3 linked regions of the Diceros bicornis minor genome follow. The protein of the gene in region 1 interacts with the protein of each later gene in a biochemical or structural test. Links are inferred from orthologs where the notes say so. Each region holds a gene or a part of one and is shown on either strand. Other genes may lie near its edges.

What was found.
Region 2: the proteins of THBS1 (region 1) and plasminogen-like form a complex in vitro, tested with the Homo sapiens proteins (2 studies listed by BioGRID). The link is inferred for Diceros bicornis minor from reciprocal best matches to the Homo sapiens genes THBS1 and PLG.
Region 3: the proteins of THBS1 (region 1) and COL1A1 form a complex in vitro, tested with the Homo sapiens proteins (2 studies listed by BioGRID). The link is inferred for Diceros bicornis minor from reciprocal best matches to the Homo sapiens genes THBS1 and COL1A1.

Annotation. Positions count from the first base shown.
Region 1 is NC_080744.1:37,518,597-37,525,919, forward strand, and holds the start of THBS1 (thrombospondin-1), read left to right. Parts: upstream 1-4,296; 5' UTR 4,297-4,456; intron 4,457-5,033; 5' UTR 5,034-5,062; coding exon 5,063-5,129; intron 5,130-5,405; coding exon 5,406-5,965; intron 5,966-6,875; coding exon 6,876-6,951; intron 6,952-7,285; coding exon 7,286-7,323. UniProt on the Homo sapiens protein: Adhesive glycoprotein that mediates cell-to-cell and cell-to-matrix interactions.
Region 2 is NC_080778.1:9,496,520-9,503,966, reverse strand, and holds the start of plasminogen-like, read right to left. Parts: upstream 3,045-7,447; 5' UTR 2,954-3,044; coding exon 2,905-2,953; intron 1-2,904. UniProt on the Homo sapiens protein: Plasmin dissolves the fibrin of blood clots and acts as a proteolytic factor in a variety of other processes including embryonic development, tissue remodeling, tumor invasion, and inflammation. In ovulation, weakens the walls of the Graafian follicle.
Region 3 is NC_080757.1:36,084,789-36,092,407, reverse strand, and holds the start of COL1A1 (collagen alpha-1(I) chain), read right to left. Parts: upstream 3,087-7,619; 5' UTR 2,979-3,086; coding exon 2,888-2,978; intron 1,385-2,887; coding exon 1,190-1,384; intron 1,096-1,189; coding exon 1,061-1,095; intron 963-1,060; coding exon 927-962; intron 839-926; coding exon 737-838; intron 1-736. UniProt on the Homo sapiens protein: Type I collagen is a member of group I collagen (fibrillar forming collagen).

The sequences.
Region 1 (7,323 bases):
TTCACTCAGGATCAGCTCATCCTGGATATTCTTTCCTTTGTGAACTCACTGGACTATATCTCAAAGTTCCCAAGAGATGGATATAAAGACACAGTAAAGTAGGAAGCAATGCTCACTCTTACCCATCAGCAGTAAATAGTGTTTGGGACTGGAGTGGCCAGTGGGCAAAGGAACAGGGAGGAGAGAGAACAGGGCAACTTATCTGGAAAGCACTTTAATCATGTAAGTGAAGAGTCTTTAAAACATTTTTATCCCATGACCTAGTATTATGTTTCTTATCCTAAATAAATCAGAAGAGGCTCAAGCAAAGTCTGAGTGAAAGGCAATCCAGACAGAGAAAAAAGAGCTGCATTGGTTATGATGTTTGTGGCTCTAAGTAACAGAAAACAATAAATTGGCTTAAATAATAAGCACATGTCCGAAGAAATCCAGAGGTACAATGGCCTTTAGGGTTGGTGGATTTAGCTGCTCAAAAATGTGGTTAACATACCATGGAAGATGGTTCTTTCCACTCTCTGCTCTTCCTTCTCCAACACTGCTCTCATGCTAAGTTTGGTTCCCCTAGTGGCCAACAGCACCAGACAGCGCTTAGCAGCATTCTTGTTCATGTCCAGATGAAGACGGAGAAAGTCTGATTTCACATGACTCTTTCTTAAAAGCAAGAAAGAACTTTTCCCAGCAGCTTTCAGCAAACCTCTCACTGGCCAGAATTGGGTCACATGGTAATTCACAAATCAATTACTAGCAGGGAAGGGAGGGTGGGAGGTGGAGAAGGTAGCTACCCTTAAACCAATAGTCCTACCCCTTCCCACTAAGATCAATTCCCTGAGAATATTGGTTCAATTCTGTGGGGAAGGGTGCAATGTTTGGGAGGCAATCACCTCGTCTACCCCAAGAGCTAAGGCATAACTGCATGAGATGGCAGCGCTGGTAGGGATATGGTGAGTAGTCTAGTCCCTCTATGCTAAAAACTGACTTAAGCATAAAGCGATTTGGAAATTCAAATATTAGAGCTCTTCCCAGGCCCAAGCCTTTGGGTACGTACAATCTAGTCCTTACACATGAGAAAATAAAACTGATTTTGAAAAACTAACTAGTAAAAAGTGTAAGATGATGAATTATGTGGTGGAGATAATGCGTGCTTCAAAATTTCACAGAAAGAAGAAACAAGGCAACATAAAGCCACTGGAGAACATCTCATGGAGGAGGGGGAGCTTGAGTTGGTATCTGACTGAAGGATAAGAAAAATCTGTCAGGAACTCCCTTTGGCTCTGACCGTCGAGGTAGCTAAACTAAAACAACTTTGAACCACCATCTAGGGAAAATATTCAGAGGGAATGAAATTATGATGTCGTCCTTTTAGAGATACTACAATTTGGGACTATTCTAGAATACGATGAATTTCGGTTTCTGCTCACTTCTAAGAAATTTTCCACGGCTAAACATTTCCAACATTTTTTAAAATTGCTACAGAAAATCACAGCCCACCTTGCTGTTTTTTGCTGGATAAACAAATTTTTTTTCTCCATTATCTTGCTCTTCTTAATCACATTCCATTTTTAAACTGGCTGTTGCTGACAGTCCTTTCCTCCTATTTATTGGCAAAGTTTTTAGCTCAATCCCACATCCAATTAAGGGAACTTGGAAAAAGGAAATCCTACAGCGAAATGCCATATGCCTTAAAATTTTATTTTAAATACATAATCTCGAAGGTGTCAACGTGGCAAAGAGAGAACTGGACCCGCTCCCTGGAAGGCCCATCACTTGGGTCCATGTCAGATGACCGGCCTGAAATCTCAGCTCTTGTATGTTGAGGACACACACATACAAGAAAGACTCTATCCCCTGCATGAAAGGTGTAGGTTTTCTTTCCCCTTTTCCCATCCCTGCTTTTCTCAAAGCTTCCCAGAGGTATTTAGGTTTCTGGGGAATATTTTAAGCATATATTGATGCTCGGCAGGAATATGGATGATTCCTAACAGCTGCCCGGACACGTCCTCACTGTGATCCTTCCTTTCTACCAGAACAACGGGATTACCGGGGTTTGGGGAAGGCCTTTGTGTTTGAAGTCAATAACTTCTGTACCTCTGTCAGCTTTCTGACAGGAAAGCTCTTCCCTGCCACCATATAGGTCACCTTCCTATTTGTAAAGCATGTAGAAAGTTAAAATTCCCCTTTTTTTCGTTGAAAGAAGCCAATTTCCAAGGAAACTCTAAAGGGATTCCTACAGTCCCTTGGTCAGGAAGCGGCAAGCCTGGAGGGGCATTCCAGTGGGATTCTACTCTATCCATATGGCTAAGCCTAGGCAAGAGGATCTTTCTATAAAAGGAGAGACGTATCCTGCTTTTGTGGGTCTCTTGTGGACCTCGAGCCCTCAGCGGGTCTGTATAAAATCAACAAGTGGGCCAGAGGAGCAGGGCCATCAGGTGACCACCATTCTGAAAACTGTACCTAAGTAACTGGCATTACTAGTAGCAAGTGAAAAAAAAAAATCACCGTTCAAGGGAGCAAACAGGATGCTAGAGAAGGAGAAGGAAGGGGAGGGACATGCGTGGCTGCTGATTCTGGAATCTTCAGATCTGTTTGGATGAATCATTCCTATGAGTTCCACGACAGGAATCTGATTTGACTACTCATCCGATAGAGACATTTATTTCTGTCTCTCAACATGTGAAATCTATCTGTCAGGTTTAGCTATTACTTAAGCAACAAACACACATGTGTCTTAGGAACATACTTGTCATCTTCTAGAGGTATTTGACGTATATGAAGCAACTAGAAAACACTCACCCGGAATCCACACACACACACATGCACTTTGTCACACGACACTCCCACACAAGAAAAGTGAAATTGCTGTGTAATGAATGTAAAACGGTGGGTGTTTCCCGCAGGTAGGAGCCCTGCCAGGTGGGAGAGCTAAGAAGGCAGGTGAACCCCAGGGCTTTCCCCCGGCCTGTGGCTGACATCCTTATTTGGTGAAGCCACTACCTGCGCCCTGTGTCTCAGGGCCAGCCTGATCGTGCCGGACCACAGCAGGGGAAGTGTGGCTGCTGACGTCTCAGCCCAAAGAGATGAATGGAATTCCAGGCAGCTGGAGTCATGCTGGCTTGGGACAGTGGCTTGGAGACCAGATTTCCAATGACAGAAGCATTAAGCGGCAGCGCTCGTGGCAACTGGTGCACCCACAGAAATGTAACCCACACCTCGGTTTCAGGAGCCGAAAAATGAAAAGAACGTTTAGGGAGGGAAAAAAAAGGAAATAAAATGATAGGCAGAGGGTAATTTATTACTCTATGGGTCTGTTCTGTAAATAGTTTAAGACCCTGGAGCCAGATGGTTCTGCAAATTCTCCAACCAGGAGTCACGTTAAGAAGCACGAGTGGGCACAAAAACTGTTTTTCAAGACACAATGTCAATTTTGGCTTGAGGGAACTGGATACGAGTAAGTTTTCTTAACATTCCTGACTAGAAAGAAGCTGTCCTCTCTCGTCCCCTTGATCAGAATACGCATACCGCCCCCAAGCGGCAAGCCGTGGAAGCGCGGTAGCCATTGGGAGCAGCGGTCTTCGTGGAGACCTGGGAGACAGGCAGCCGCAGAAAAGTGCCCCGACGGGCTGCGGGGACGCGAGCTCTGTCCCCCGCCCTGCAGGCCGGCACGACACCGCACTCGCCTCCCTCAGTGGGTCAGGCGGAGGGCAGGCGTGGGGCGAGGGCGGGTGCGCGGCGCGAAGCCGGGCGCGTGGTCCCCCACCCGGAGGGACGGATGGATGAGGGTCAACGAGTATGAAGAGGGACCTTCTTTAACGACTGGTTCTCTCTTGGTCCCATTTACCCCGGCGGGCTCATTTGTTTTTCACCAAAGGACTTGGTCTCCAAGTATCCACCCCTCAGCCATCCTCTAGGCATTCAAGGAGACGGGTTTGCCTGAAAGGCCCTCTCAGGGTCTTGGGTGGCTGGCCAAAGCTCCGCTGCTGCTTGGGATGCTCACACCGACCGCCTCGGGACCGCGTGGCGCAAGAGCCAAAGTACTGAGCCCGCGTGCGCCACGGCTGCGTGGGCGGGCACCTATTTTTCTGAGAAGTTCCAGGGCTCCTGGGCCCCGACCCCGACCGCCCCCCCTTCACTTTCTAGCTGGAAAGTTGTGCGCCAGGCAGCGGGGGGCGGAGAGAGGAACCCAGACTGGCCCCCCTCCCGCTTCCTGCCCGGCCGCCTCCCATTGGCCAGAGGAATCTCCAGGAATGTGAGCGGCCCTTTAAAAGCGCGCGGCTCCTCCGCCTCGCCAGCCACAGCACCCGAGCCGGCCGGCGAGTGTGGTCTCCCGTGAGCTCACCCCGCAGCCTCCGACTCCGGTCGCTGCTGCCCGGGCGCACCGCCCTCCCTGCGCTCTCCCGGACTCGGCGCCCGCCGCTGCGCCCTCGCCGCCACTCCCGGCCGCTGACTTGTGTGCACACAGGTAAGGGGTCTCTGGGCGCTTGCCGAGGACCAATGCTGCCCTGGCCACCTACCTCGGGCTCCGAGGCTTCAGCCCGCCAGGGGCCCCGGATCTCACACTTTTTACCTTCCCCATCCTGTCCCTCCCAGACACTGGAGCACTCTTTTCGAGGAAGGGCTCCAGAGCCATCCTCTCCAGCCTTGGAGTTAACAAACCAACTCTCAGGACACCCCAAGATTTTCTTCTATTCTCCAAGTCCTCCCTAAACCTTCCTATCAGTCCTCCAGAAGAGTCGCTACTTCCCCGTGCCCTCCCTGCGCCCCCACCCACATCTCCTGGTCCTCGACTTCCCGAGGAAAAGCCCTTAGGCTGCTGGTCTTTGCGGTCCCCCCACTTTAAAACCGCAATCTCCTCCCCTCAACTCTCCCATTTTCTTTCGGATGCTCTCTCCAAAGTAAATACTATTGTCCCCTTATCCCAGCAAATGTGGGACCAAAGAGGGATCCCCAGAGCCCTGGTCCCAAGCCCACTCCCCAGTTTTTGCCCACCCTCCTTGCTTGGCTGCCTCTGACCCTGGGCTCTGTGCTTCCTGCTGCAGGATCCCTGCTGGGCACAAACAGCTCCACCATGGGGCTGCCCTGGGCACTCAGTGTCCTGTTCCTGTTACATGTGTGTGGCTCCAACCACATTCCAGGTGAGTCTGTATAATACCTTTTGGGGGAGAAGGAAGAGGAGGAGTTGCTGGTTACCCCAGCTGTGTCTCCCTCCCATGCTCTCCTCTCCCAGCTGTTTCTCCCCGAGCCCTGATTCAACATCAGGATGCAGGTTCCCTGCAACTGTGGTGTTTATTCATCTCTTTCAGTGATTGCCATTTTCACCCTGTCCCTCTGACCCCACCCCTCAGAGCTGAGCCCCTCCCCTCTGGCCCCAGCCTAGAAGGCTCACTGCCTGTCTTGCTCCTGTGCAACAGAGTCTGGAGGAGACAACAGCGTGTTCGACATCTTTGAACTCACGGGCGCTGCCCGCAAGGGCTCTGGGCGCCGACTGGTGAAGGGTCCTGATCCTTCCAGCCCAGCTTTCCGCATCGAGGATGCCAACCTGATCCCCCCTGTGCCTGATGACAAGTTCCAAGACCTAGTGGATGCTGTGCGGGCCGAGAAAGGTTTCCTCCTGCTGGCCTCCCTGAGGCAGATGAAGAAGACTCGGGGCACACTGCTGGCCGTGGAGCGGAAAGACCACTCTGGCCAGATCTTCAGCGTGGTCTCCAATGGCAAGGCGGGCACCCTTGACCTTAGCCTGACCGTGCAGGGCAAGCAGCATGTGGTGTCCGTGGAAGAAGCGCTCCTGGCGACTGGCCAGTGGAAGAGTATCACCCTGTTTGTGCAGGAGGACAGGGCCCAGCTGTACATCGACTGTGAGAAGATGGAGAATGCTGAGCTGGACGTCCCCATCCAAAGCATCTTCACCAGGGACCTAGCCAGCATCGCCAGACTCCGCATCGCAAAAGGAGGTGTCAATGACAATTTCCAGGTGAGGTCCCCTCCTCCGATTCCTAGTCCATGGGGTCACTGCTAGCCAGCTGATCTGTCAGGAGGGCTATAGCAGGAGAGGCAGGGGTTCCAGTACAGGAAATACTGCTTGTGGACTAAAGCGGTGTTTCTCAAACTTTAGAGAGCACCAGAATCACCTCGAGGGCTTCTTAAACCGCATACTGCTGCACATACACACACACCAAGTTTCCGATTCAGTAGGTCTGGAGTGGGGCCTGATAATTTGCATTTCTAACAAGTTCCAGGTGAGGCTGGTGCTGGTTTTCTGGGGACCACACTTTGAAAACCACCAAAGGAAACAAGAAATAGTTTTCCTATAACAGCCTGTTCCAGCTTTAGATACTCTCTATCCTCTTCTTAGGAAAATAACTTATTTCAAATGCATTCCACCAACTGTAATATTGCTTGACATGGATGGATACTTTGCATGAGCTGAATAAATACCACTTTGCTATTTGATTCCTCACGGGGATGTGGTGGGTTTCAAAAGGTTAAAATAGTGAATACTCACTGCTGCAGCTTTTTCCCTCCTTACACTTCTAGCTCTTTGCAACTGTGGCTTTGAAACTCCCACATTTAACTCTTTGTCATCAAATCCTCCGGCCTTAGTGTCAGATTCCATTTCCTCTGTTCTCAGTAGGCTGATAACTGAGTTCTTTGTGAAATACTGAAGACTTGGCAGAAGACACAGTTAAGATTTTAAAGTTGTTTGGCAATTTATCTTGGTGTATTATTTTGACTTGGTGATCTTAAAGGGAGCTCTTTCAAACTTGTGGAACATCTGTTGTGTGCTTTTCCTAACATAAACAGTCTCCCCCACCCATTCACACCACCCCCCCCCCCACACACACACACACACTCTACAAGTAATGTGTGTCCTCTGCCCACAGGGGGTGCTGCAGAACGTGAGGTTTGTCTTCGGAACCACACCAGAGGACATCCTCAGGAACAAAGGCTGCTCCAGCTGTGAGTGTTCTGCTATTTTTAGGGACTATAGGGAAATCAGGGGGAATTGCACCCAAAACAAGCTGAGAAATTTAAGCAACGGAGGTTGTGTATAAATTACCCCAAGGAACATAGTTAAGAGGTGTACAAAAGTGACCTCAAAGGGCATTACCCTCTCTCTCTCTCCCTCCCTCCCCCTCTCCCCTCTCCCCTCTCCCTCCCTACTTGCCCCTCCCTCCCCACTTGCATCTCTTGCCCCAAATGAAATCTTTTGGGAACTCGAGGGGCAGGCTGGGGAGAGCATCTCTTTGAAGATATTCCATCACTTTTCTCATTGTGTTTCTTTATTTGGCAGCTGCCAATGTCCTTCTCACCCTCGACAACAATGTGGTG
Region 2 (7,447 bases), on another chromosome or scaffold:
GGCTGGGGATGTTGACCTCCATCCTTTGGGTAGGGAACACTAGTGATTTTCCCAGGATGGGAGGCCAAAAGAGGTTAACAAAATGAAGACAGTAAAGTTTCCTAAAGTTGGTCTAAATAGGATTAGGCAACATGGCCTAATGAACTTTGAGGGGAGTGGTGGAGACCAAAGCCAGACTGAGCAGGTTGAAGAGTGACTAGGAGAGGCAGTGGGAACAGCATGAAGAGATAAGTCTTTTTAAAAGTCTGGTTGTGAAAGGAGCATTTTCAGGAAGGCATATGTGGTCACACAATTTTTTTTTCACAGATGAGACATTCTAGAGCATGTTTGGATACTGATGAAAATTATCCAGTGGGAAGGATCATGAAGGGTCAGATCCTCCTTCTCAGAAAGGCCATCCTTGACCACCTGAAAACATATATGCTGCTAGAGGTCCTCTAGCAGATTAGGACAAAGCCATCTTCCTGAGTCCACCCTCTCCCTAACTTGACTCCCTCATTCTTCCTCAATTTAAGATACTCCAAAGTGGAAGAGTGGATATTGAACAGAAGTTGGCTGATGCGATTGAGATTGAATACACCCAAAGCACTTGATAAATGTATCCAAAGATTACGGAGAAATCAATATGTCAGACCCATAACCATGTCTTCATTCCGCATTTTCTCCCAATTTGAGCTCTCATTTCCAAGAAGAGTTGGGCTTTGGGAAATTCTATGGATCAGGATATGATTTAAAAAACAAACACAAAAACTCTATAAAGTATATCCCATAAAGAGTTAAATTAAACTTTTTGAAGAGTTCTTAGAAAGTGGAGCAAGCTGGGGTATCAATGGTATGAAAATAAGAAAATTTCCATTTATATCACCCTTTAATTAAGTTACCTTTAATGATGTTATGTTGTTATGTTTCATAGCATATAGCTGCTGAGACCCACCTTTGGAGCAGATAGCCCAAAGAAATATCCCAAGAGAGAATAATTTTTTCTTTTTCTTTTGAAAAAATTTCCCCCCAAATTTCTTTTATTCAACTCCAGGGCTGATATGGCAACGGGGTATAATACAGTTTATTTGTTGACCAAGAAATATTAAACAAATCTTTTTAGTAAGAAAAGTATTTTTATATTCTAGGCCAAATGTAGAGATATATATACCAAAGCAAGTGTATTTTATTAATAATGAGTTTTTTTTTTTTTTTTAACACTGTGGTGTGTGTATATGTATGCAAGCCTGTGTGTTTGAAAGAAAAGACTCAATTGTTGGTGAAATGCAAACTGCTTATCCATTTCCCACTGAGAACAGCTCTAAAAGGATGTTTTTCCTTTCCCTGGTCATTTCAGTGCACTGGAAACAAGAACTATTTCCATGGAAAGAAAGAGTAAATGCCTTCCCTTCAAAAAGCTTATGAAAGACTTTTTTCCCCCATAGGTTGGTGAAGACATATGTTAATCTTGTTGCAGAGAAATCTGTTCTAACTCTCAGGTGTGACCCACTGAATCAGCTCATAGTGTTCCGGGTCCTGTTCTCCACAGGCTAAAACAGAATTATGCATCCTTGCACCCCCATACACAACCATTCCCACAGAAATCTCTTGGTACAATCTTCTGCTCTGTGTTTTCTTTGATATTTCTTTGAATGGCTCCACTAAATTCAAATGTATTTGACTCCAATTTAAAGTACAACTGTAAAATTTTATCTGGCAATTTATAAATTGAATTGCAAGTATCTATACATTGTTTATATGAAGAACTACTAGCATAATGCATGATTCCATTTATATGAAATGTTCAAAATAGGCAAATCAGAGATGGAATGTAGATTAGTGATTGCCAGGGGCTGGGCAGGGATGGGGGAGTGAGTGGGAGCTGGAGGTGACAGCTAAGGGGTGTGGAGTTTCTTTTTAGGGTAATGAAAATGTTCTAAAATGTATTGTGGTGATGGTTGCATAACTGAATATACTGAAAACCACTGAATTGTGTGCTGTAAATGGGTGAACTGCATTGTATATAAATTATATGTCAATAAAGCGGTCAAAAAAAAGAACTATAAGGACATGCTTAGAATATTTTAAAGAAGGTTTAAACAAAGTTCAAAAAAAGAGAAGAGCACCAGATTCCTTCTTGGAAAACCCTGGTTTAAATCCTGGTTTCTTCACTTCCTGGATTTGGGAGTTTGGTCAATAGGAAAACAACACGATTTTCGTAAGTATGGATTTCCTTGTCTATAAAATAGGGATGTTCTACCCTACCTGTTGCACTGGCTAAATGAACTTGGGTTATTAAAAGACACACACATGTGTGTATGTACTTTTAAAAATTTGCCTGGCCTACCTAAAGCACGAAGTGAATATTTGTTGAATTATTTTTGCATACATCACTTGGCCAATCGATGCCTGTGGTTTCTCCAGGCATACAAAGCAAACCTATATGTATGGAAGGTCTTACTTAAGCCAGAGCCCACAGGGAACTGGTGAATACAACTCCAGACCAGTCAGAGAATGTAGTCAAGGAGAGATTTCATTGTTTGCATCTGAACGTGAGGAGCATATGACACCTTAACAAAAATGATCTAAATTAATCCAACTGAGAACCAGGTAAAGAGACTAACCACTTTTCGGATTGTTAACTATATGAGCTATTTTTTCAACTAAAATAACCAACCCTTGGGCTTCATCTTTTTGATTTAAAAAGCCATTCATTATTTTCTCGGCCCATTCATCTCCAGTGTTCACAGGGAAACTAAATTTATTTCTTGAATTCCTCAATCTTATATTTAGATTTCAAACTGGGAATCTCATGAATCAAAAGTTAAATTAAACTAGTTGCCCATAAAGCCATCATGTCTCTATTTTTATACGTTGCTAGGAAAAAAATACTGATTAAAAAAAAAAAACAACTTGAAGTCTTACCTGATTTCAGAAATAAAAGCAGTAGAAGAACCACTTCCTTATGGTCCATTTTGGAACTGGCCAGCGGTGTCCAGAAAACAGCGTGTCCCAGTCCCAAGATGTTATTGACTTACATGAAAGGAAATGCATCCACAAACAAGATAATCACATATAGTTAATTATTCTCTTAGAAGCCTATTGCCACTGAGCACTGAGGGTTCAAACATTACCTTGACTGGAGGATCTTACAAAATGTTTGAGAGCAGAATTTGCAATAGATGCTGGGAAGTGGTGAAAGCGGGCCCTGCCCCCTCGGCGGCCCCGTGCTGCCTTCTTCTCTCTTTAGTCCTCACCTTACTCCCAGTCCATCATCATTCTTAGTCTTGTTTTCTTCTCTCTTCTTTCATTCTCTTTTTTTTTTTTTTTTTGCTTAGGATGATTAGCCTTGAGCTAACATCTGTTGCCAATCTTCCTCGTTTTTTTTGCTTGAGGAAGATTAGCCCTGAGCTAACATCTGTGCCAATTTTCTCTACTTTGTATGTGGTTCGCTGCCACATCGTGGCTGATGAGTGGCATATGTCTGTGCCCAGGATCTGAACCAGTGAACCTGGGCTGCCAAAGCAGAACCCGCTGAACTTAACCACTATGCCATGGGGCTGGCCTCTCATTCTCTTTCTTTTGGGTAAAAAAAAAAATCACAATAGCTCTCATTTGCTGAGAACTTTCCTTTGCCAGACACTCTGCTAAGTGGTGCATAGGCATAGTTACATCCAACCTTTAAAACAAGCAATATTATTATCGTCCCCATTTTAGATGAGGCGACTCAAGCTAAGCAAGTTTATCTTTCCAAGGTTACTTAGCTAACAAGGGGTGAAATAACACATATAAGCTAAGGCATTGTTGTTAACATCCCCACATCCTACTAGTGTAGAAATTACAACATAAGTGAAAATATTTTATTATTATCAAAATTTCTTTATGCCTGGTGGACTCACGTGTTTTCTGTGATTATAAATTACATTACAAAATTATCGATCTTTTCCCCAAATGAATTCACAGTGCATTAGATTGTCATCCTCGTGAAATAAAGCAAGAGTGGTAAAATTAAGTTTAAAGAGTCTGTCTTGATCTTAATTGTTGAGTCTGTACATTTCCCTGGCTTAAGGCTAGTATGACCAGGTAGTAAATGCTTTAAAACCGCTATTTCAGTGTTCAAAAATATTTAGGAATAGCTAAATTGACTCTATCTAAATGTGAAATAAGAACGAGAAATTCTTCTCTCTCCAGCTATGGAACTCCTTCCTATAAACTAGCAAAGTATAAAGGAGGGCACCATATCGTTTTCGGTGGTACCTCCTGCAGAATTCCCTGGGATGGAAGGACAGTCATGTGTCACTTAATGATGGGGATATGTTCAGAGAAATGCATCCCTAGGCGATTTTGTCATTGTGTGAACATCACAGAGAGTACTTACACCAACCTAGATGATACAGCCTGTTACACACCTAGGCTCTATGGTACTAATCTTATGGGACCACCATCATATATGCAGTCCATCGTTGACCGAAACGTCCTTATGTGGTGCAATGTTCTGTACTGTGTAGAATTCTCAAGAACAAAACGTGCTGGAGAACAAGAAGTTGGTGCTACTGTGAGGGGCAGGGATGACCTAATTATATTTCCTAATTTTCTACTTGATCTTAGCTTTCTTCTCTCAAACTCTGTCTTCCTGTCTCCTCTCCCTCTCACCTAGTGGCCGAGTGTATTAAAGGGGACACAAGGTGCAGGCAAGTTGAGAAATCAGCATTGGGCAGACATTTTTTCTTAAAATATCTGAAATGTCTCTTAGGGGGATTATGTTGGTGTATTTGAGAAAGTACTTTGGGGAAAAAACAGACTCTACTAATATATAATGTTTCCAGTCTGCATTTATTTCCATTTAAAATAGTTTAGCACTGCCTCGCAGATAAGGCATTTCAGGAACAATATTATCAGAAATTCTATTACCACATAATTTTCTTTTTCCTGTTTTATTTTTTTTCTTATTTGGGTGGTGGTGGTATGCCTTTTGCTCCCTTTTCTCCTGGAATCTTCTAGAATGCTTTTGATTCTACCAATGTTATTTTCTAAATCAGGTTGCCCTCCTCTGGCCTTCTGACTATACATTCTTCACCACGTTCATAATATATCAGCATCATGAGAGCACAGATAAACACGAAGCAGGGTTTTGCTCTTGTGCCACCAGATACTGTAGTGTGTAAAGAGAAGAGCAAAGAGGAATGTATTGTTCACATGCAGACAGGGGGGTGCACAGAGACTTCCATTGCGTCACAGCACTACATGGTTTAGCTTCATAGGTACAGGGTAGGCATAAAGCAATGGACTATTCTAGATCACGCATAGGAATCCCACAACAACACTCTTAGAGGGACATCGGATAGTGGTTTTGCTCAAGGCTGTAAAGACAATTCATTCAAAATAAGTCTTTTTCTACTTCAAAGAACGGCAGAAACTCAGGAAGGAGATAAAGAGAGATCATCTTTGCCTACTATTAGCAGGTTGAATAAATTCTGAGATGTGCATCTTTATTGAGTCCAATTCATTAAGTATTTACTGACCACCTACTGTGTGTTAGATTCATTTAGGACTATATAAAAGGTAAAATAAATAAAAATTAAAAAGTTACAAATTACAGTCTCCTCCATCCCCCAGCCTCCACCTAAAAGAACTCCAGGAAATTTTTTATCTAAGATTACTGGAGGCTTCTGCTGCATTGTAGCCAGAGACAAGGACGTCAAAATATGATGGAAGAGGGATCGAATTTCTTAGCTCTGCCCAGCAGGGCGCCTGCAACCAAGATCCACTCAGGTTCCTTTAGGAAGGGAAGAATTAGCTAGTTCCTCCCCTCTAGGCATTAAAATGGTGAATTCCTCGCAAGCACTTTACCAGGAAAGCCACAAACACCAGGAAAGTTCAACCTCACCAGGCGAGAGAGGTAGAGTGCCCCCTTCAGTCTCGCCTGCACCCACCTTGCCTGAAGTGGAAGCTGTGGCCAGGTCACAATTTCCCAGGTGACATGCTTTCATACCGCGTGGACCCTGTCTTGCAGATCTGACATTTACATCTGTCACCTTTCTGCACCGACGTTCCACCTTCCTCCAGCCCCAGCAGAGCTCCTCCCCACCCAGGCTCTGCCACCCTGGAACGGTCATTCTAAGACAGCTCATTTCTTTACCAGGAGCATCTCTGAATATCCCCAATAAGACCATGTCATTTCAAAAGGAAAACAGCGGAAAAAATAATCTATTAAGAGTTCAAACGAAGTATGCCTTCATTGTTGCAAGGGTTCTTAGCACGTTTATCTTTGCCCTTGATGTCAGTTTACAGATTGCTTTCACTCTGTTAGTTTATCAGGGCGTATCACCCAGGACACACGCTCTCATTAATCTGAAGGTGCCTTTCATGTCTTCATTTGACCTTTTTCTCAGGTCTGTTAGCCTTTGTTCCTCAGTCTCTGGGGCTGTGGAATGAGACCGTTATCGGCCCGAGCTCCCGTGAGGAGATAGCAGGCTGCTCAGTTAGCACAGGGGTTAAAATGTAACCCGCCCAGAGCACTTTCCAGGTGAGACCTAAGTCAGTGGTCAGCGAGCTGTATTTTCTTCACTGGCTTGTGCTTGCGGAAATTGAGATGTTTATTCAGTTTTGGAAAAAAAAAAAGAGCCTTCATTGGATATTTCCTCGTCAGACTCGTAAGATGCTCGAGAAAAACAGTAACAGAGAAGGTAGTAATTCCTGGATAGTTTACCAGCCTGCCCTGAGGCAGCACGAGGACTCCCCAGAGACCCAGGCAAGCGTACTTTCTGCTCCGAGGTCCAGATTCACTGCGGAAAAACAGAGAAACCAAATCATCCTTTCCATCTCGAAAATTCATTACTCTCAAAGTTAATTAAGACAAAAAATTTTTTCACAGTATTTCGGAGAGACATGTAGAAAACACTAAAATCTTTTAAGAAAAAAATAATGAGTACAGGTAAAAACTGGTGAAATCTGAGCAACGTCTGTGGGCTAGCTCATTACTGCACCAATGGCAACTTCCTGGTATTGATAATGAACTACAGTTATGTCAGATGTTCCCTTTGGGGGAGGCTGGGTGGCTGGGTGATGGGTACACTGGACTTCTCGGTACTATTTTTGTAACTTCTTGTGTGTTTATAATTATTTCAAAATAAAAAGTAAAAATACATATGTCTATATACGTATATATTTGTATATACATGTATATATGTGTGTGTATGTGTATATTTGGATATGTGTGTCTATATTTGGATATATACGTATATATTTAACGTATATGTTTATGCATATATTTAAATATATTTACAGAACTTTCAAAGTACAGAAACTTGTCCAGGGAGAATCTAAAGTTATAGAACTTCTAAATCGGGGAGTGGAACTCAGGCTTTGACTCAGGCCCCCCCCCTCCGCCTCCACCCCTCCCCCAGGCCGGACAGTCAGTAAGGCCTGATGGACGCCGCCTGCGCAGTAGCAGCTGGCGGAATCCAGA
Region 3 (7,619 bases), on another chromosome or scaffold:
TCACGGATAACAGGCCCCACTGGCATTGTATGCCTCATCATGTGATGCACTGAGAAGAACAACAACATCACTTGGGAAATATTCCTGCCAAAGACGCACCGCCCAAATCTAATTATGACACATCTGACAAACCCAAACTGAGTGACAGTCTACAAAACAACTGGCCTCTTCAAAAAATCTCAGGGTTGTGACAGACAAAGAAAGTCTGAGGAATGTTCCAGATTAAAGGAGACTAAAGAGACATGACAATTAAATGCAATTCATGACCCCAGATTGGATCCTGGATCAGGAAAAAAAATGCTATAGAGGACATCTTTGGGACATTGGTAAAATTTGAATATGGATTGTATATTAGACAATAGTATTGTTCCAATGTTAAATTTCCTAAATGTAATCGTGTGCTATGATCATGTAAGAGAATGTTCTTGTTCTCAGGAAATACTGAAGTTTTTAGGAGCAAAGGGACATAATAGCAACAACTTACTCTCAAACGGTTCAGAAAAAAAATTATGATAATTATATGTATGCATAGACAGAGACTGATAAAGCAAATGTGACAAACTGTGAAGGGTATATGAGAGTTCTTTGCATTGCTCTTGCAACTTTTCTGTAAGTTTGAAATTATTTCAAAATATAAAGAATGCCAGCCGCCAAAAACAACAACAACAACAACAACAACACAGAGAGGGGAGGGGAGCACACCAGGCTTTCCACAAGCATCTCGCTCTGCACTTACTCCTCCGAGGCCAGGGGGTCCGGGAGGTCCGGGAGGCCCGGGGGGTCCGGGAAGTCCAGGCTGTCCGGGGATGCCATCTCGGCCAGGGGGGCCTGCGGGTCCCTGAAGGGGGAGAGGGCGCCTGGGTGAGCTCAGGTCAGGAGCCACACCAACCTCCAGCCCCCAACAGCCCAGAGAGGGCGAAGCTTACCCTTGGGCCTCGGGGGCCAGTGTCTCCTTTGGGTCCCTATGGGGTTGGGGGAAAAGAAACAGAAGCTGGGTTAGAGAAGGGAGGACCGTGAGGAGTCACGGGCAGGGTGGCAAAAGTCGAGGGTAGAGGATTACCTCTACTCCTGTGGTTTGTTCGTCCGTAGGTGACACTGGGGGGAGAAGAGACGCGGGTTAGAGGCAGGGTGGGCTCCGGTGCCCCGACGGCCCCGCCCTCCGCCCGCCCCAGGCCCCTAGCGAGCGTACCCTGGCCTTCAGGGCAGACGGGGCAGCACTCGTCCGGGGGGACAGAGGCTCCGGGACAGTTCTTGGTGTCTTCGCAGATCACCTCATCGCACAATACGTTGCCATTGTCGCAGACACAGACCCGGCAGGGCTCGGGTTTCCATACGGCTCCGTCGTGGTACCTGAGGCCGTTCTGTATGCAGGTGACTGCTGGGACTGGGGCAAGAGGGGAAGAGCGGGGCTGTCAGCGACGCCCGAGCCTCCCACCTTGGGGCTCCAGGGACCCCAACCCTATCTGCCCTTCCTCTCTGTCTTAGAGACACATTTAGATTTTCCATTTCTCGCCTCCTCCTTTTTTTTTTTTTTTTCTTTTTCCCTAAATCCTTAAAAGTTCGTCTGCTCCTCATCAGGGCCCGTGACAGTGTCGAGGCCCCTGGCCAGCGCGGCTATAACTCTTTCCAGTTCTCAGGAATTTAAACAAAGCTTTAGGCCGGGGTTGCTTCCAACTCCAACCTCAGCCCATTGGCGCTGAAGCCAAGTGAAATAAAAAGCCACTGGGTGGGGGAGTGGGGGGTGGCGGAGTGGGGAGGAGAAGGGGGGGCCCTTTCAAGAGGGCAGGACTGTGGGGCGTGGTTTGGGTGGAGACAGGAGGAGAGGGTGGGAGGAGAGATGGCAGGTCCAGCCCCCATTCGGCCCCATTCCCTGAGCAGGTGGGATGGCGTGGGCGGAGCTAGGAGGATGGGGAGGGGCTGATTGGCGTGGCGTCCCGCCCAGAGACTTGAAATGTACCCCAAAAGTAGGATACGCCCTAATCTCCAGCTCCCAGACATCTCAAAAGTCCTCTCTCAGGAACGACCCCCGTTTTCCAAAGCCAACCAGTGCCTCTGGGTCCCTCTTTAGCCAAAGAACCAAAAGTCCGCAAATAGCAATGAAGTTAGTTAACCACGCCCACCGCGCGAGCCTCTCTCCAGATGGCCACTAGGTGGCGGGCAACACTAAGCAATTTCCCGGGCCTGGCCGCTTCCGTTAGAGACAGGGGCTACCCGGTCTCCAGCTTTATTTTCTAGGTCTAGAGGTGGGGTCCACACCCGGCAATAACCTCCGTTTTCTCTCTCCAGCTCCTACGGCGGGAAGCCCTGGACAGGGAGGCACGGTGCTCAGTGTTGATCAGCAGGGGGCGCAAGGACCCGCCCTGCCAAGTCGCGCCAAAGTTTCTCAACCTCCAACCCGCCCACACTCCGCGCCCCCTCCCCCCTCAGCCTAGCACCCCCGCGGCCCCAGGAACACTGTCTAGCCCGCAGAGAGGGCAAACAATCTTTCCCTGTGAATCATCCCACAGCCTTCCCGACCGCTTTTACATCTTGGGCTCCAAATTCCCAGCTCGGCGACCCCATCCCATCTTCGACGTACTTGCCCCCCACCCGCGCCCAGATCCCCATTTTCCCTGTTGTACGCCGCAGTGCGCGCTCGAGACTCCCTCCTGTGCCAACTCAGGCCGAGCTCCATCCTCCTCTCCCACTTCTGGGGGACGTTCCTCTACACTCCCCACCCAGGGTGCTCGCCCTTCTCTCCCAGGGCGCGAGGAAGAGCCCTAACCATCTCCCTTCCATCCCTGAATCTCCGGAGCATCCCCAGTCTCAGTTTAGGTCGCAGACCCCCGGGACCGAACGCAGGGCAAGACACCAAGTAGCCCTGGACTCTCAAAAGTTTGGGACTTACTGTCTTCTTCTTGGCCCTCCTCTTGGCCGTGCGTCAGGAGGGCGGTGGCCGCTAAGAGGAGCAGGAGCCGGAGGTCCACAAAGCTGAACATGTCTAGACCCTAGACATGTAGACTCTTTGCGGCTGGGGTGGGGGTTAGCGTCCGCTCATGCGTGGCCTCACACTCCGCGTGCCTCCTGCTCCGACCCCGAGGAGAAACTCCCGTCTGCTCCGATGACCGGCCCGGGCCCCTTTTATACCATCTTGATGGAGAGCGGGGAGGAACCCTGCCCCTGGGAGAGGGGGAGCCGGCTGCCCGTCCCCCAGCCAATCAGAGCTGCCTGGCCCGGCCCCCAATTTGGGAGTTGGAACCGAGAAGGGGAGGAGGAGGGAAGGGAAGGGAAGGGAGTCCACCACACATCTCCCCCCTTCGCAGCTCTGCCTCCCCAGCCCCCCAGTCCAGCCTGGGCCAGAGATGCTGCCGCTGGGGTGCATCTAGGTCCTCAACATAGTGTGGCCTAAAGAGTGGGTAGGGGCGCCTCTTCAGCTTTCTTCCTGGGACCCCCAATCTGGAGAAACTGGAATTGGGGAGTGGGTGGGAGCCTTCCAAAGGTGGAAGGATTGGGGTGATTGGGAGAGGGTCCTCCTGGCCATGCCTCATGCACGCTCCTGACATCCTTGGCAAGAGCTAAGGGATGGATATGAAGAGGCCGGCCGAGAACCCCTCCAAAACAGGAGACCAGGGAATTAAAAAGATGTACCTGTTGGGGTGTCTTCTGGCGTGGCTGGGTTATGGAGCTTAGGAATATTTGGGGACCAAGTTAGAGATTCCTTTATAGACCTTAAGAATCAGATACTTGTGGAGGGGGTGCTGGCAAGAGGGGTTTTATTTTGAGGATGTCGATTCTTCTGCCATGCCTGAGGCTCCAAGACGGACTCAGGTCCTCTCCCTCAAGCTTCAGGTATGACTGAGAGAGACGAGATGGGGAGGCTGAAGTACCGGGTGAGAATTTGGCTACATGGTCTCTCCAGAAGGAAGCTTTGGTGTTGGTGGGGCATTGCTGGGACTCTTCCACCCCAGGGGAAGTGACTTTGCACGGAGGGCTATGATCACTGATGACTTAGAAAGGGGTCTCGTGTTAGGGTGTGCTTGGTGGCCAGGGCCTTTTTAGAGACTCTTCTACCCAGAATAGTCAAGCTCCGGTGGAGGGCACTTGACCAGAGAGAGGGTTCTCCCTCTGGGTGCTGCATAAGGCCCCCTCTCTGGTTGTACCTGGACTCAGGGTTGGGGGTATACGGGAGAATTTGGGTGTCTGGGGGAGATTTGCCTTTGGGGGTTTGGGATGGACTTGCATGGGAGGGTGAGTGACCTTGTTTTAGAGAATGTTTCCCACTGCCCCACCTCTTTCCTGAAAACCCAGGGCATTTCTCTCTGCCCCCGGAACCAGGAGAGAATCATATGTACCCTGAAAGGGGGTGGGCACCCCAAGAAGTCTGTATTTGGGAGAGATGCCTCTAGAAGCCAGTGTCCTCCCTCCCTCGTGTCCCAATCTCCCAACAGTGCTCTACCTCAACCTCAATCCACTCAGACCCCTGGTCCTGTCAAAATCTGTGGGCCCAAGAGAAGGCAATGGGGGTCCCTTTGCAATCCCCGTCAACTCGAATCCCTCCCGCACAGCTTCCCCACCCCCATCACTCCAGAGCTGCAAACGTGGAAGCGGGGAGTCCCGCCTCCCCCAAACCATCCAAGATTCCATTGCCTCCCCCCGCCCCTCTCCACGCCCTCCCCCGGCTGGTTTTGTGCAACGAAGGCAAAGGAAAAAAAAAGACCAAGGGAACAGAAGGGGAGGGAGCCACGTTGGCCGTGGGCAGCCAGGATGAGCGTGCGGGCGGGGCAGCGGAGGGAGACTGCAGGGGCTATAATTAAAGGGAAAATATAGAGTTTCCAGAGAGGCAAGCGGGAGACAGCAATGGAGGGACAGGCCTTCATCAATTATCCCCACCATGTGGCAGCAACTTGTGGCCCAGGATCTGCCCCCGCCTAGTGCCAGCGACTGCAGGGCAGGACTGGAGGCTGAGATGCTGAGATGGCAGTTCTTGCACCCTCCAGTGTGGATGGGAGACAAGGGGCACCATCTCCCTAATAGAGGAAAAGGGTCCTGTCCCCCATAGTAGTCAACCATGTGGAGTGGGTGTCTGGGGTGGGGTGTCACAGGCTTGGGGCAAAGGTTGGTGTGACCTGCCCACCTCCCTTCTGGCTGAGTTTGCACAGCCAGAAGGACTCCTCCCTGCAGCCCCCTCCCCACATGCACCCTGTCCAGACTGTCCTACTCTCACCGTCAAGAAGAGATTAAGCCTCAGAGGTGCGGATTGGAAGCGGCTACATCATGGGCTTCTGAAGGATGTTCAGGGACCCCTGGGATGGGGGTGGGTGGGCTTTGTGTGTGTGGCATGTGACAGCCACTGCCCCTATGTCCAGTTTTGGACCTCCATCCCCGGAGCTGCGAGCAGAGGGTTTCCAAGCATCCTTTACACGTGGCATAGAGCTGAGGCCCAGGGCCGCCTCTGCTACTTTTTGACTTGAAACGCTTGGCGGGCGCCCAGCCCAAAGATGTGTCTTTAATTTCTGCAGCATGACAGTGAGAGGAAGAATGTGCTTGGGGTCTCCTCCCAGCCTGCCTGGGCCTCTTTGGCCAGGACTGAGGGCTTGAGACTTGGGGGGAGGGAGCTGGGGCTGGAGAGGGGAGGAGACGCCACCTCATCTTTAGGAAACTCTGAAGCTCTGGCTTCTTGTGGAATGCAAGACTTCGTCCGGCATTTGGAGTGGGGGGAGCAAAAGCCAAAATCTCCTCCCCCCACCCCCAAGAAATGGTAAAGTCATCAGCACTTAGGGAAAAAAATTCCTCAAGAAGAAAAACAGAAAGAGGAAAGTGCTGAGCTCTAAGTTCTCGCCCTCTCCAGATTTCCGAGAGTGCCCTTCCTCCACGAGGGAGGGGGCGGGCTGTGCTCCCCAGCTCCCCTCTCCCTCTGGAGCCCCTCACGCCCCCAGTCTGGACTCCGTGATGTGGGACAAGGGAGAAGAGGCAGCCCTGGTGTTGGTGCACCTGGTGGGCAGGTGGGTCAGCCCTTTCCAGCTGCTCTGGTCCTCTGCTGAGGTTCCGTTGCCCTCCGTCCCTGATCTGACCTTCCAGAATGGTCTTCTGCCTCACCCTGGCCCCAGACTGGTGATGGAGAGAGGGTCTCTAGAGAGGGGTTGAGGAGAGAGAAGGGGAGGGAGTGGAAGAATGAGGCTGCAGTGAAGACCTTGGTCTCCACATGTCCCCATCATGGAGCCCTGCACAGGTCCTATTGAGGAATTCTGAGGGCAGAGTCCGGGGACAGACTCCAGGTGTGTGGGGTCCTCTCGTCTTCCCTTTCTTCAGCAGTGCACCATCTGGGCCCTTTGGTCCTTAGCTAAGTTCCTTAGTTTCCAGGCAGAGCTCTGCTCTTTCTATGCCTCAGCCTCAACCCAATCCTTCTTTAGCCTTCTGAGATGTCCCTCCAACTCATCATCCTTTCCAGGTTTAGAGGGGAGATGATGAATTCAGTTTGTCCATGTTGAGTGTTAGGTGCCCATGAGACATCCAGTGACAAATGTAGAGGAAACTCTAAGGTGTCTGGGTCTGGAGTTTAGAGAAGAGACAAAAATGGGACCCCTAGGGTGATGGTGTGCATGGAGTTGTATCCTGAGAAAGTACGGAGCAGGGAGAGATGAAGGGCTAGGACTGAGCCTTGAGGACCCTCAGGGTTTAGGGGTAGGGAAAGGGAGGAGGAGCCTGCGCAGGAGAAAGGACAAGAGCGGGAGAAGTAGGAGAGTAAAGAGGAGAGGGATGGTGGATGTCATGTATGCAGAGGGAAGATTGCTCTAGAAGGAGGGAGAGTTATATGCTGCAAAGAGAATTAGTGTGATAAGGAGTAAACTGTTCTCTGGATTCAGCGACATGGCAGTGATTGGAGCCCTAAGTGTGAGCTGTTTCAGTGGAGTGAGGGTGAGGAGGCCTGTCTGGAGTGGGTGAGGAGTGAGCGGAAGGCCAGGAAACGGGGTCAGAGTGCAGACAGCTCGGAGGAGGGGTTGGGTGTGATGGAGAGGAGAGCGAGTAGAACCTCATCCTCCCTGCCTCCTTCTCTTTTTCCTTCTTTCTCTACGTTTCCCCCACCCCCACTCCTGTCTGTCCCCTGCCTCCCTCTGCTGCTTCTTTCTCCATCCTTCCCTCTCTGGAGCTCTCTTTCTGGGTCTCATTTGCCTTTTTGGCTCTTTCTGCCCTCAGATGTCCACATCCAGGCCGAGATGTCCACTTCATTCTCTTCTAGAGCAAGCCCTCAGTCCAGGCTCCTGAAGAGAAGTCTTGATTTCTAGTCCCGGCAGACCCTGCCCCATTCTCTGGGGCCCCCCAGTCCAAGAGGGGAACTTGGGGCAGAGGAACCAGGGGAGGAGCTGGGATGAGCTGGGAGAAGGGCTGGGCGGGGTCCTCAGGTGACACTAGGACTGTTCCACTTAACGCTGCTCCCCAGGCCCGCTCCAGCCAACCCACAGGTCCCAGCCAGGTCCCAACTGAGAATAATGTGCTGGATGGGGACATTGTTGGGCTTGGGGACCTATCCTTACTTCCGCTCTGTGCTGGTCACAAGTGTAGAGTCAGCGCCCATCTTTCCTGCTGGCCGTGAGCTCCCAGGCAGGGACCTGGCAGGTTCCTCATGGTGTTTCTAGCCCCTC